Caenorhabditis elegans: one gene and its partners. The protein of the gene in region 1 purifies or fractionates together with the protein of each later gene. This does not show direct contact. Each region holds a gene or a part of one and is shown in the gene's direction. Other genes may lie near its edges.

Region 1 (3,924 bases):
AAAATTTTGCCAAATTTGAGTCAATATATTTGTGCTCTGGTGAAGGTTATGGTTTCGTCAGTGCCATCAACGAAAGCACGACATGAAGGTTTAAATGTACTGATTGATTGCTTAACGCCTGAAATGGAAGCATCTGATATTTTATCAAACTCAATATCCCTCGATAATTCAACATCTTCTCCATTGGAGGAAGGATTCCGACTTGCCATTGACATCAACCGCCATAAAGAGATTATCGTTAAATCACTATCAGCAATTCTTCTTTTGCTAGTTAAGCACTTCAAGCTGAATCACATTTATCAATTCGAATACATTTGCCAACAGATTGTATATGTGAATGGAATTCCCTTGATTTTAAAGTTTCTCGATCAGGTATGTCACTTGTTGCTCTTTTGCAAAGTTCCAAAAGCGATCTTGCCTCACCAAAGTTCATTTGCCGCTCGATCTATCCATCGCCCCACCCTTTTCTCTGCGTTTCTCATTCTTCAATGAGTGGCATGTGAAATATACGTGCAGACTTTAAAAATTGAAGCCCTTCCCTTCAAAATCAGATTCTTCTTTCTGCTTTTCATTTCATTTTGTTACAGAACACAAACAAATTAATCCAATCAAGACATGAAATCTACGCCTACAACTATCCACAATGTTTGTACCATTATGTCAGAAATAATGGTGAGTCTTAATTATTCCAAACTAAATTTTTCGTATTCCTTTTTCAGAAGAATGGCCAATTTTGACTCAAGACAATATAGAAGAACCACGTCCACCTGGCGCTGGCCCGTATTTCATGTGGCGAAATGTTTTCTTCGCAATCAATCTCATTCGTCTACTCAACAAATTGGTCAAAGCTAAAAACGATCGAGTTAAAATGCTGATGGTGTTCAAATCTGCTCCAGTTTTGAAGAGACTTTTCAAAGTACGAGTATCGGTACTACAACTTTACGTGCTGAAAGCGATCAAAATGCAATCACGATACCTTGGACGCCAGTGGAGAAAAAGTAATATGGACATAATTTCGGCGATCTACTCGAGAGTTCGACATCGAATGACCGATGATTGGGCGTTTGCTTCTGATATCAAGAGAAAGTGTGATTATCAAAAAGAAGACAGTTTGATCAAAGCAAGCATCGAAAGATTCCATAGTAGACGATATTCGGCATTATATCCTCAATTTGCTATTGGTAAGATTAAAATAACAAAAGCTTATAGCAACAAAAATTAAATTTTCAGAAGTGAATGATGCTCCAATGCCTGGTGACGACTACCTGAATCGAGTTGATATGAGAGATTTTGAGCCCGTTGACACGTGTGCTCACTCTGTTCTTGGTGCAAATCTGAAACTTGGACGTCATTTTAAGAAAGATTACGAAAAGTGGCTTGAACAGGAAGTCTTCAATGCGAGTATTGATTGGGATAAACTTCTGATAGAGACACGTGGAGTGGAAGATCTTATGTAAATCGATTCGATCCCGTTTCCACTGAACAAAAATCTGTAAATAACTAATTATTAGTTATTAATTCTTCTTTAACGATAAAAACGAGTTCATCTTTATTGTTCCCTTGTTCCCCAATGATAACTAACTTGTAAATCGAAATTTTGTTTGAAATTTTAGATCTCCCCATGCCCCCTTATACTTTACCAACCATCATTTTTCGAAAATATTTAATTTTTCCTTGTCAGAACCAATAATTGGACTAAAACCGAATGAATTCAATTGTTTACATAACATCGTTGTTTTGTTATTTTGATCATTGAAACGTTTCAACACTTGATATCTCTTATTTCTATTACTATGCGTTTTACCAAGTCTATCTTATTGTTTCAGATGGTAGTAAGATCATTGCTTCGGGTATCCAGACTCACTTCAGCTAGTTGTAGGTGAGATTTATTATCGTTAATATCAAGAAAATAGAATTTTCAGACACGCATCGTTAGCAGTATCTTCAACTCCAAAACCCTATATTCCATCAGTCACTGGAGTTCAGAAATCAATGCCATTTGATAATCTATTAGAACAATATTCTCGTGTTCATTGGGATGACTCTGTCACATATGATGATCCAAATGTGCAGAAACTTTTCAAATCATTGATGAGCGGAAGTCGAGCTGCCCTGGCTTCTGCAATCACACTAGTTGAATCTCGCCATCCGACAAAAAGAGCACAAGGAAATATGTTGTTGAAGATGGTTTTAGATGAAGAACGAGAGAAATACAAGAAATTCGGGAGAGATTCTATGATATTTCGAGTAGGAATCTCTGGTAGTCCAGGAGTAGGAAAGTCGTCTTTCATTGAAGCATTAGGAGCAGAATTAACCGAAAATCGAGGAAAGAAAGTTGCAGTTTTAACAATTGATCCCACTAGTGCCATGACGGGAGGATCTGTTCTTGGAGATCTTACAAGAATGCAAGAATTATCTCGTAATCCCAAAGCCTACATTCGTCAATCACCAACTTCTGGATCGCTCGGTGGTGTCACTCGTGGAATTCATGAAGCTGTGATCCTCTGCGAAGGTGCTGGATACGATATTGTTATCATTGAGACTGTTGGAGTAGGTCAATCTGAAACATCCGTTTCCGATATGTGTGATATGATGTGTCTTCTGTTGTCACCTGCTCATGGAGATGAATTGCAAGGTGTTAAACGAGGTATTATGGAGATGAGTGATTTGTTGGTTGTGACGAAAGATGATGGAGATTTGAAAGCGAAAGCCAAGATGACACAGGCTGAATACATTTCCGCGTTGAAATTCATGCGACCACGACTCGATGTATGGCGTCCAAAAGTTATGAGATCCTCAATTATGGATAAAGAATCTGTATCAGAAGTTTGTTCGAGTTTGTACGAATTCTGGGATACAATCGGAGAATCAGGAGATTTGGAAAGAAGGCGACAGGATCAAATGAAAAAATGGATGTGGAATCATGTTAAAGACGAAATTATGTCCGTTTTCCAAAAGCATCCGAAAATAGCACATTTGGTACGTTTTTGTTCTTAAAATACACCATCAAAACGATATTTCAAAAGAATTTGCAAAAAATATAATACTGAATTAAAAAAAAATACTGTTTGATAAATTCTAAATTTTCAATTTTACAGGCACCGAAACTGGAAAATGAAATTCGAAGTGGAAAAATCACCCCTGGTCTGGCTGCAGAAACAATGATCAGAACGTTCTTCGGCGTCTAGGCAACTCCTCATTTTTACCCCTTTATAACTCTACATTTGTAAACCACCTGTTCAATTGCAATTTTTTATTGTATTTTCTCGAGACTCACCAGTGTTTAATGTATTCATTAGATCCAATGTATTTAGACTTTTTTTTTGTGAATTTTCAAAACTAGCCAATCTTCTAGCCATAAATTACAAACATAACGGGATAAATAAAGAATATTAAATATTACCCGATTCGTGTGTTAAATTATTTTGCAGTTTCCCTAACTAACGTTTCAGCCAACAAAGCAATCTCAACCGTCATGAAGAGAGATGCTATAAGGACGTCGGAAGTTTAGCCTTAGAACTTTGAAAGCTGCTTTCAGGAGTGTGATTTATCTATTAGTTTGGGCTGTCAAACTATCCATTGGAATTATTGTTCTGGCATTATTTCACTTTGCGTGGGATTACATAGTATTTGGGTTTTTTTGAAAAATTAATATTTATCTATGATATCAATATTTCAAACATTTCAGATTAGGCTTGGGTATAATTATGCTTTGAGAAGAGATGGTGATGTTGGATTTGATGATTTTGTAACTTTTTCCAGAGTATAAACAAGTTGAGCTTCTGGATCTGTGACTGTATAGGATGCCACGAGCACCTAAAAATAAAAATTTGGGAGAATGTAACAAAACATTGAACATACCCATTCACTGTCAGAATCTGCAAGTCTAATCAGACTGTCAACTTGATGAGGAAAATTAATTTT
Region 2 (4,597 bases), on another chromosome or scaffold:
TAATTTTTCGTCTATTTCCCGCAAAAATTACATAAATCATGTAAAAATGCTGATTTTATACCAAAAATTCACTAAAAATAAATAACACGCACTTGTTAATTCGGAGCATCGTTGTTTTAAACTCTAAATTTTTTTTCCAGAAATTTGATGGTTTTCCCAGTTTTTCAAGCATATTTCATGTTTTTTGGTGCCTTTAACGCTTCTGAAAAATTTTAGATTCTCGAAATTCCATCTTACAATCTCTCGATTGCTCTGAAAATCTCAAAAATCTCAAGATTTCGTATAAAATAGGATTTTCCAGGGTAAATCACGCGATGCCAATGTACAAGCTGACACCGACGTTCCCACCGAATTTTGAGGTTCATCCGAAAATCGCCTGCTATCCAGTAGGTTCGTATCATAATCCATCTTTCGGAGGAGTCGGGCCTTCTGATGCGGTGCAGGTAATAGACGGATTTTGGCTCAAAAAAAACTGAAATTTCAGGTAGAATCCGATCCGCGCAAGGCTTTGGAGCACAAACAGCTCTCACTGATCGAGCAGCTCAAAGCACAGACCGAAGAGCTCAAGAAGTTGCTGGTAAGCCTTGGAGAGGCTGGAAAAGCAGAGAGATCTGCTCAAAAACCTGCGGAAAAAGCGCCAAAAGAGCCTGAGAAATCCGCTGGAGCAGCCTCTTCAGCTCCCGGAGTCCCCGGAGCCCCCGCAAAACTAGACAAGGACGCCAAGAAGGAGGCTCGCAAGGCTGCCAAGGCAGAAGCCGTAAAGAAATTGGCTTCCGGAGAGGCTCCACCACAGAAATCCGCGAAAAAGACCGTAAATTCGACTCCATGGACCGTCCAGGACGACCGAAAGACGTGGGAGACCAATCTGACTCTCACCGTGAATCTCCCAACCTCCCTTGTGGCCTACGAGCCGCAGGAGCAGCTGAAAAACGCCACGCTGACAGTGCGGGACGTGGATTTGCCGTGGGCTCGGGCTCTCGCAAAGGTCGGCGCAAGCCGTGGAGTCTCGTTTGAGGGAGAAGTCAAAAATCAGACGAAAGAGAAGAAATCCAGTCTGAAAGTTGTGAAAGGTGCGGGATTTTTTCTCTAAAAATCAGAATTTTATGATATACCCTTAATTTTCAATATTTTCAGGCCCTGCTCCCTCCCTGCAATTGGAAAAAACTACCGTCAAATCCCTTCAAACTATCTGGAAGCTGTTGGGCTCTTCACTCGGGCTCTTCTCTAGACGGCCACAACAAGTGCTCAGCGCCAGTCATCAAGCGATTTGGCTGGGAAAAGTAGGAAATTTTAGAAACTTTCCCAAAAAAATCAAATTTTCTTTCAGGCCGAGCAAATCCTTGCCGGCTCCTGTGATCAGAGCTTTGTCACACGTGAAGCTTCTCAGTTCCTGGCTCGTTTCGACTCGTTAAGCTCTCAATGGGAGGTGTGTGTCGCTGATATTGTGTTCAGAAGCCTTCTGAACCTTGGGGAGCACCTTCCGAACAATGTGGAGTTGTGGGCTAAGAAGATTGACGCTTTGATTGTTTAGATTTGATTTATTGATGTTTTTATTTGATTTTCTCGGTTTAAATGAATTATTTTGCATTTTTATCTGATTTTTTCGTTTAAGAAACAAATTTTTTGCTTTAAAAATTCAGTTTACAATTACAACGATACTCCAAAATCCCGCAGCGCGCCCTGTTTACCGTAAATCTACACCATAGAATTTCAATTTAAATTCTGTCTTTCTTTGTTTTTTTCGCGATTTTCACCGATTTCCGCAGATTTTTTGCACTTTTCTCATCATTTTTCATCGAAAACTCAACATTTTCATCCAGGAACCAGTATGAGCGACGCTAAAAAAAAGGCCGCCGCCGAGCTAGCCGCGAAAAACCTCGCACAACTCCAGAAAATCGACATCGCCGCCAGCAAGATTCTCGACAAGGTTTAACATAGAGAATTGTGGATTTTAAAGCTAAAAATTGGTTTTGTAGATGCCATTTGCCGCGATTTATCATATCGATGCGGCGAGAAAAGAGTGGAATCAGTCGAATTGCGAAGGAACATTTTTCGTCTATCAGAGAGCTGATCGGCCATATTTTAGGTGAGAAGAAGCAAGAAAACATGCAAAAATAGCTAAAATAATCAATTTTAAACTTATTTATTTCAGTTTCCTCATCGCAAATCGCAACGATCCATCGGATTTCATCGAGCCGCTCACCCTCAACCATATTCTCCGCCACGACGGAAATTTCATCTACTTTTACAAGGATTTGGCCTCAATTCAAGCACTATGGTTCCACCAGATTGATGATGCTCAGAAAATCTACAATTTGTTGCAAAAACTCGTGAATCGTCTGAAAGGAAGCACTACGGAGCAGGCTCGGGCCGCCAAGGCCGCCTCGGAGGCTCCACAGGCTTCGGTTCCGGCTCCAACGCAGGCTCCAGCAGCTCCAGCTCAAGCTCCACAAATGGCTCCTCAAGCCCCACCAAAAGTGGATCTTCTCCAGCTCATAAAAAGTGCGCAAAATCCGCCGCAAAAATCTGCGGCAACGATCGAACAAATGCCGCCAATGCTCCAGAAGCTGATGCTCAAAGAGCCGGGAGCAGCAATGTCGGCCGATGAGCTCGAGAAGGATCTTATAAAGTCGGCAAAACCGCATCGGAATCATCTTTTGCAAGAATTTACTAACTCAACGTCGGCGATTTCGTTGGCGGCGGTCTCGACGAAGCCTTTGCATGGATCGGAGGGTGATGTGGAGTCGGATATTGCTGAAGGAGAGATTTTAGAGCCACTTGATGCTTCATTTGTCGTTGGAAGTGGTGAACAGACGCCTGTTCTCAATAAAGAACAGGTTGGAGCTGGAAAAACGTTTTTTTTTTGAGTGAAAAGCTCAGATTTTTTAGATAAAATCAATTAAAAACTGATTTTTCACGAGAAATCTCGAAAATTTACATGAAAAATCTTTATTTTAGTTGAAAAATTTTGTCAAAAATCCCATTTTTGCTCGAAATTGGAGCTAAAAAATGCGAAAAATCAGTTTTTTAACGGAAAATTCAGGTTTTCCAGCTAAAAATCTGCTTTCTCAGTGAAAATGAGCAATTTTTAAGCTTGAAATCGACTTTATTTGTTTTTCAACATGAAATTACGATACTTAAGCTGAAAATTTTAGGCCCAGGCTTAGGCTCAGGCCTAGACCTAGGTTCAGGCTCAGGCTTAGGCTTCTGCTTCGGCTTAGGATTAGGCTTAGGCTTATGCTGAGGCTCAGGCTTAGGCATAGGCCTAGGCTCAAGCTTAGTCTTGTCCTTTAGATTTAGCCTTGGGCTTAGGCGTAGGCGTAGGCCTAACCTTAAACTTAGGCTTAGGCATAGGCATAGGCTTAGGCTTAGTCTAGCTTAGGTATTGAAATCTCTTTTAAAAAAAGTACCGTTTTTTCCTAAAAATTATAAAAAAGCGGTAAAATTTCCGGAAAAAAGCGAAATTTATCTAAAAATCTCAGATTTTTGTGAAAAATCGTTAAAAATCACCGAAAACCCCCTAAAATTCAAATTTTTTCAGTTCATCTCAGCAATCGCCCACCTAATGCAAACCGACGACGAATTCGTTTCACAGATTCATCAAGCCTACGTCAGTGCACTCAATCGGCGTCTAAATATCGATTAATTTCCCATTTTTTCGACCTTTTTCTCATTTTTCTGCTAAAAATCCTAATTTTCCCCGATATTTCCCTGATTTCTTGCTGGTTTTTGAGTGAAAAAATCAAAATTTTCTCCGATTTTTTGCTAAGAAATTTTTTTTTCCGATTTTTCCTGTGAAGATTTCCAATTTTTTGCTCGAAAAATCCCATTTTCCCTCTATTTTTCCCACTTTCCATATTTTTTCAACGAATATTTTTTTGTGAATATTGTGTGATTCCTCCTGAGCCCTTTTGCTCATTTTTCCCCATAAAATTGTCCATATTTTGTTCACTGAATGGGTCTCCCTATTGATGATATCTCAAACCACACCGCCCTCCAAAAATTTTCGTTTTTTTAAATTTAAAATTCCCCATTTTCTCCACTTTACTCTAAACTCTTGATTGTGAAAAATAATAAAGGAAGTCGCGTCGAAAAAGTGCAGAAAGTTGGCTGAAGCTATCGAAAATTGTGGAAAGTTACTGATAATTGTCGAAAGTTGACGAAAGTTGTCGGAAATTGTCAAAAACGGCAAAACTGACGAACTTTTGTCAATATAGTAAACGTTTTCAAACACCGCCGACAAGTTGTAGAAAACTGCTGGCAAAATATTGCACGGATTTCTGGCTTCCCTCATAAATTGAAATGGAAGAGTTTGTCGAACTAGGCCATTTTGGTTCGGCCATATCTGGGGTAGATTTACGGCGCGTTGCGGCTCGATTTTAGTTGTAAAACTAAATGCATTTGTCCGAGTGGAGTGCACCACTTTCCCATGCGTTGTCCGGCGAGCGATTGTCAATGGAGCGCGAAAAATCCATTGAGGAAGGCCGGAACCCCGTGTATATTAATAGAATAAACATTTTCATGTATGCAAAATATGTGCACAAAAACTTTTAAAGAAAGTCGGCATCAATTTTCGTGTTGAGCCATTTGGAATAAA
Region 3 (5,009 bases), on another chromosome or scaffold:
TCTAGCTGGAAGAATTCCACCGGTAAGTTGTCTTATAAAAAAACGGAAAATTGTTATTGAGACTGAAATAAGTGGCCCGACATCCTCCGGGTTCCACGCCTCACCATCAAAAACCCAAACTCAAGGTCGGGCCATGCACATACAATTTCCAGACGCTTGAAACATTCCTTGCTCGACCAAGCTTTATAATTCTCACTGCTCCACCAAAAGATGCACAAAATCCCAAGGTCTATATCGATGTCAAATTTTTGATTGACAAGTCCTACGGGGAGTTACTAAAGGCAAGATATTTCCAGCTAGTACAAGCTTTAACTAAAGTTGTGTACTTCAGGGCATTGAAACACCTATTCAAACGTCGAATATTTTGAAAAAGCTGGCTTTGGGTTTACAGCAAGTCCGGGGGTCTCAGAGAAAAGTAACGAAACGGCTAGAAAAATTCGGAAAAGATGAAATGTTTGCAATGTGGGAAAATGATATGCTGAAAGTTGCCAAGTGGTTCACCTACTTTGAAGATTTTCAACAGTTTTCTTCGGAATTTCAGGTAAAGTTTAAAAATTTTGCAATGTTTTGTGTACAAATTACAATAAAAATATTTTTTTATTTATAAAAATAAAAATAAATAAAAATATTTAGATAGAGATTATTAAAAAAGTTTGGATTGTCTGGAATGGTTTGGAAAAGCTGGCAACTACCGCCAAAATGAGAAAGCGGATGAATTGTGATGATATTCTTATGGTATTACAAATGGAAAATGATCTAGTGGCTTGTGGGAAGTCGGTAGAGTTCGACTTATCTTGGTGCTCAAATTACAAAGCGGAGCAGTTTGCATTGTGAGCATTATTTTAAAAAAATTAAATCATTGCCTATATATTAAAAAATAGTGTACGTCTGTTGACTACGTCATCAATGGGCGGAGCCTCTCCATTTGTGGCGAGACTCATCGTTGCGAGTCCCATCGTGGCGAGACGCATCAAAAGAAAAATATTTCGGCAGGAAACTGAAAATTTTCTAAGAATACAATTTTGGCGAAAAAATTAAAATTTCTGAGAAAAGTTGTTAGCGGGTCTTTCCAGAAAAATCTTGAAATTTCTAGAAAAATCTGGAAAATTTTAGATTTTTCTGGAAACTTCTAGAGTTTCCTACAATAATCAGGAAACTTCTAGAAATATGTTTAGAGTAATACAAACTTGAAATTTTGATTTTGTTCTGAAAATTAGCTGAAACTTAATTTATAAAATTGAATTAACCGAAAAAATTGACTGAAAAAAATTACCCGAATTTTTAGTTTAGTCTCAATTTGGCGGCCAATTTAAAAATGTTTTTGAAAAATCCAATTTCACTCTACAACTCACCAACTTAAAAACGTAAGACTTGAAAATTCATCAATTTTGTTTTACGAACTTTTCGAAAAACATTACTCTCTTACTATTTTTTCAGCATCGATTCAAATTGGAACAAACATGAAGAGCTGCTGGAATTGATGGTACAACTCAACCCAACAGATGAGGAACTTTGTTACATGCTATGTCATTTGTGTTTCCAACAAATTAGCAAACAATGTGACGGGCAAATACTTGAAGCCGTTGAGCAATTTCAAGATTCTATATCAAATCATTTACACGACTATTACTTGAACCATTTGTCCCGCCCGAATTATTCCGGAAGGATTGCTGCTTTGATGAAGCTTAATAGTATTGCTCAGGTATTTTATATTAAACCTTGTCTGGAAAAAACTCTGAAATTTCCAGCAATTCATCTACCAAGACCAAATAAATGTGGAGATTTTGAAAGTGTTCGAAGTGTTTTTTGTAAACTTTTCCCATCCGGAATTATTTATGAACTACCAATAACGAATTCATAATCTGTAAATAAACACCTATATTCTTGGCACATTTTTGCTCTTTTTCTAAAGTACCAAGTGCTCTTCGCACCTATTGTTTGCACTACAAACTACACTATATTATTCCACATCAGACATTTCTCGTAGAGTCTGCGTCTTCTTTTAAATTTCTCGTCATATGCTCGGAACTACCTTTACAACTTTTTTTAAAATCGGAGGTGCTTGTTTTAATTACTTTGAAAAATGACGTTATCTATTTTTTTTGAATCGTTAAACTTTTCAAAAAATATTATTTAGATTTTTCGTTTCTGAAAGAAAATTTGTTTGGAAAAATGTAATTGTTCTTGTTCGTTGACATTATTTTTAAACATACACAAAATCTCAAAATAGTTTTGAAACTTTTTTTTTTTGGATTTTTGGATTTTTAAAATTTTCATGTGTCATTTTGTTATTTTCAGCATCAAAAATTTCAGCTCATTTATGGAAAATCCGATTTTTTTTCTAAAAAAACCTGAATATTTTATTTTGTTCCCCAGCACTTTAGGATATTCCCCCTAAAGCAAGTAAGCTGTGTAAATACTACCAGGTCCATTATAACACCCGCAGAATACCCGAGAAAAGTCGGCAATTGCAAACATGTGGGGAAGAGACCAAAGAATCAATGTACTTTCTTTTGAATGCGTCTGTGTTTTGATGAGTTGAATGACGGAGACGATGACCTTATTCGATTAGAACCACATGGTTTCGCACTCCTGTTATTAGTGAAATTATGTCCGAGAGTATTTGGATTTGAGAGATTTATGTGTTTTTAGATGGGTCATTTGAAGAAATTTTTTATTTTGTTAAAAACTCATGTTAATGCTTTCTTAATTTTTTTGTCATTTGAAAAAAAAAATTTAATTTTCAGAAAATGAACAATCCTTGCTCATCTTCACCCCCAGACCTCACTCTTTCAACAATAGAAAAATGTCCAGTTTGCTGGAAGCCTGCTCATGGCATGCATTTCGGAGCATTTACATGCAGAGCTTGTGCAGTATTTTTCAGGTGAACTCTTAATTTGTAAAGCATCCCCTAGTCAGCTCATAAATTTCAGAAGATTCGGAGCTTCAAACAATCTCAAACCATGTAAAAAGAACAATGTTTGCAATTTTGATAAAAATGGATATGTGAGCTGTAAAAAGTGTAGATTACAACGGTGTTTTGATATTGGGATGAAAATTGATAGTCAGTAGAATTTGTTGGTATACGTCTCAGCAGTTTTTATTTTCAGATTTTCAATTTGAGAGGGACCCGTATAAGCAGAAGCTTGAAATGCAGGCGGCTTTGAAAGTTATTCGGAACATACCACAGGTAAGTTTTTGAAGAATTTTTAGCACTTGGCAAAAATGGTCAATGGGCTGTGACGTGATAGTGCAGCCTAGAAATTCAATCATTTCCAGACCCTAGACACCTTCCTCGGCCGGTCCAGTCTCATAATGTTCACCGCTCCATCTTTTGATGACTCTCCAACGGAAGTTCACATTGATGTTCGATTTCTCATTGACACTGCGTACAGGCAGCTTTTGAAGGTAGGAAGCTTTTTTTTTAGTTTTTCACAAAAAACTGATATTTCAGGGTCCCGAAACGCCAATTAAAACTCCAAATGCACTGAAAAGGCTTGCGATTGGGCTACAAAATCTTCACAGTGCTCAGGAGAAACCAACAAAAGTTATGGAAAAATTCGGGAAAGATGAGACTTTCGCAATATGGGAGGACGATGTGCTGAAAACTGCAAAATGGTTCTCCTATTTTGATGATTTTCAAAAACTTCCCAGTCAATTGCAGGTAAGATTATTATTTTTTCAATAATGATAATTTGTTGAATATACAGCTGGACATTGTAAAAAAAGAATGGCTTGTTTGGAGTGGATTGGAGAAGCTTGCAGCACTGGGAAAAACTAGAAGACAAATGATGTATGAAGACTTTGCATTTGTACTTCACGTGGACAATGAATTAGTGGCGTTTAAGAAGACGATTGAAGTTGATATATCATGGTGTTCGAATTATAAACTTGAGCAATTGGATTTGTAAGTTTCATGTTTTCATGTTTGAAATTACGGATTTCCAATAGTTGCTCCCAAAATTAACCTAAAACTAAAAAATTAAAAATTTCCAGCTTCGACTGCAACTTCAAAGAACGTCACGAACAACTAGTTCAGCAGATTGTAGCCCTCAACCCAACCGACGAGGAATTGAGCTTTATGCTATGCTATTTAAGCTTTCAACATTATATGAAACATTGTCCGAAGCACAATGTGGAAATAGTAGAACAACTTCAAGACTCCATATCAAATCATCTACACGAATATTATTTGAACCATATGAGCCGTCCGAATTATTCGGGGAGAATTGCCGCTATTATGAAGCTCATTAATGCTATACAGCTATTTTTGCTACATGATAAAACCAAGATGGAGCTGATGAAAGTGTTCAAAGTGTGTTTCGCTAAATACTCGCACCCGGAATTATTTTTTGAATACGAATAAGTGACTTTATTAAATAACAATTTTTATTCGATCTCTATTTTTCACTGTATAATTTTTTAAAATAATATTTTTATTGTGGATATAGAGAATTGTTGCATTTTAGAAAAAATGTTTTATGAATTATTTGATCCTTTTATCTTTACTATTAGCCGTGTTTCGGGAGCGCCCCGTTAAGCTTCACCCGAGTAGAACATCTACACTGGTGACACAAAAGTCGGCGCCACAGATTTCTGTCTAGCGATAATTCTAAAAATTATAATCGATTCAAACAAAGATCCACCGGTTCTCGGGATCGCAGTTATTCCAGTTTTCAAATTAATTGATGGAAAATACGCCAATACAAGTACCGGTAGAAAATTGAAAATGATGATAATAATGCAGTCAAGAAGTGCGATTTGGGTGGCCTGAAATAAATTTATTAAAGAGTACAGGTCTTGCAATATTTCTATTTTCTAACTTTTGAAATCAACTTGCTACTTTGATTGAACACCAAAAAATTGCAGACAAAAAGTCGAACGAACAAAATAGTGGATAAACTGCTAATTACAAAAAATACCACTTGCTCATGAACCATCCAATATTGTAGGTAACATTGATTTACCGTACACTGGAAATTCTCGCAGTTCACTGGAACGTCAATTAC

What was found. Proteins that work in one complex are often made in the same cells at the same time.
Region 2: the proteins of mmaa-1 (region 1) and dcap-1 fractionate together in Caenorhabditis elegans (co-fractionation; one large-scale study listed by BioGRID). This does not show direct contact.
Region 3: the proteins of mmaa-1 (region 1) and nhr-201 fractionate together in Caenorhabditis elegans (co-fractionation; one large-scale study listed by BioGRID). This does not show direct contact.

What each region holds. Positions count from the first base shown.
Region 1 is NC_003280.10:7,099,066-7,102,989, reverse strand, and holds mmaa-1 (Methylmalonic aciduria type A homolog, mitochondrial), read left to right. Parts: upstream 1-1,826; coding exon 1,827-1,879; intron 1,880-1,922; coding exon 1,923-2,979; intron 2,980-3,098; coding exon 3,099-3,188; 3' UTR 3,189-3,407; downstream 3,408-3,924. Other genes in the region: farl-11 (DUF3402 domain-containing protein), read left to right, coding at 1-372, 588-672, 720-1,181, 1,231-1,457; T02G5.3 (EF-hand domain-containing protein), read right to left, coding at 3,706-3,816, 3,862-3,924. UniProt on the Caenorhabditis elegans protein: May have GTPase activity. May also bind and hydrolyze ATP. May function as chaperone. Likely to have a role in propionyl-CoA and adenosylcobalamin metabolism.
Region 2 is NC_003282.8:1,052,018-1,056,614, reverse strand, and holds dcap-1 (mRNA-decapping enzyme 1), read left to right. Parts: upstream 1-1,820; 5' UTR 1,821-1,828; coding exon 1,829-1,927; intron 1,928-1,976; coding exon 1,977-2,086; intron 2,087-2,152; coding exon 2,153-2,837; intron 2,838-3,541; coding exon 3,542-3,646; 3' UTR 3,647-4,091; downstream 4,092-4,597. Other genes in the region: Y55F3AM.13 (FH2 domain-containing protein), read left to right, coding at 315-443, 485-1,070, 1,135-1,280, 1,328-1,531. UniProt on the Caenorhabditis elegans protein: Component of the decapping complex necessary for the degradation of mRNAs, both in normal mRNA turnover and in nonsense-mediated mRNA decay.
Region 3 is NC_003283.11:463,007-468,015, forward strand, and holds nhr-201 (Nuclear Hormone Receptor family), read left to right. Parts: upstream 1-1,850; 5' UTR 1,851-1,857; exon of another isoform or gene 1,858-1,957; intron 1,958-2,735; 5' UTR 2,736-2,750; coding exon 2,751-2,884; intron 2,885-2,933; coding exon 2,934-3,064; intron 3,065-3,110; coding exon 3,111-3,190; intron 3,191-3,279; coding exon 3,280-3,408; intron 3,409-3,454; coding exon 3,455-3,664; intron 3,665-3,710; coding exon 3,711-3,907; intron 3,908-3,996; coding exon 3,997-4,366; 3' UTR 4,367-4,503; downstream 4,504-5,009. Other genes in the region: nhr-202 (Nuclear Hormone Receptor family), read left to right, coding at 1-22, 153-281, 332-541, 634-830, 1,438-1,702, 1,749-1,850; srbc-57 (G-protein coupled receptors family 1 profile domain-containing protein), read right to left, coding at 4,561-4,770, 4,824-5,009.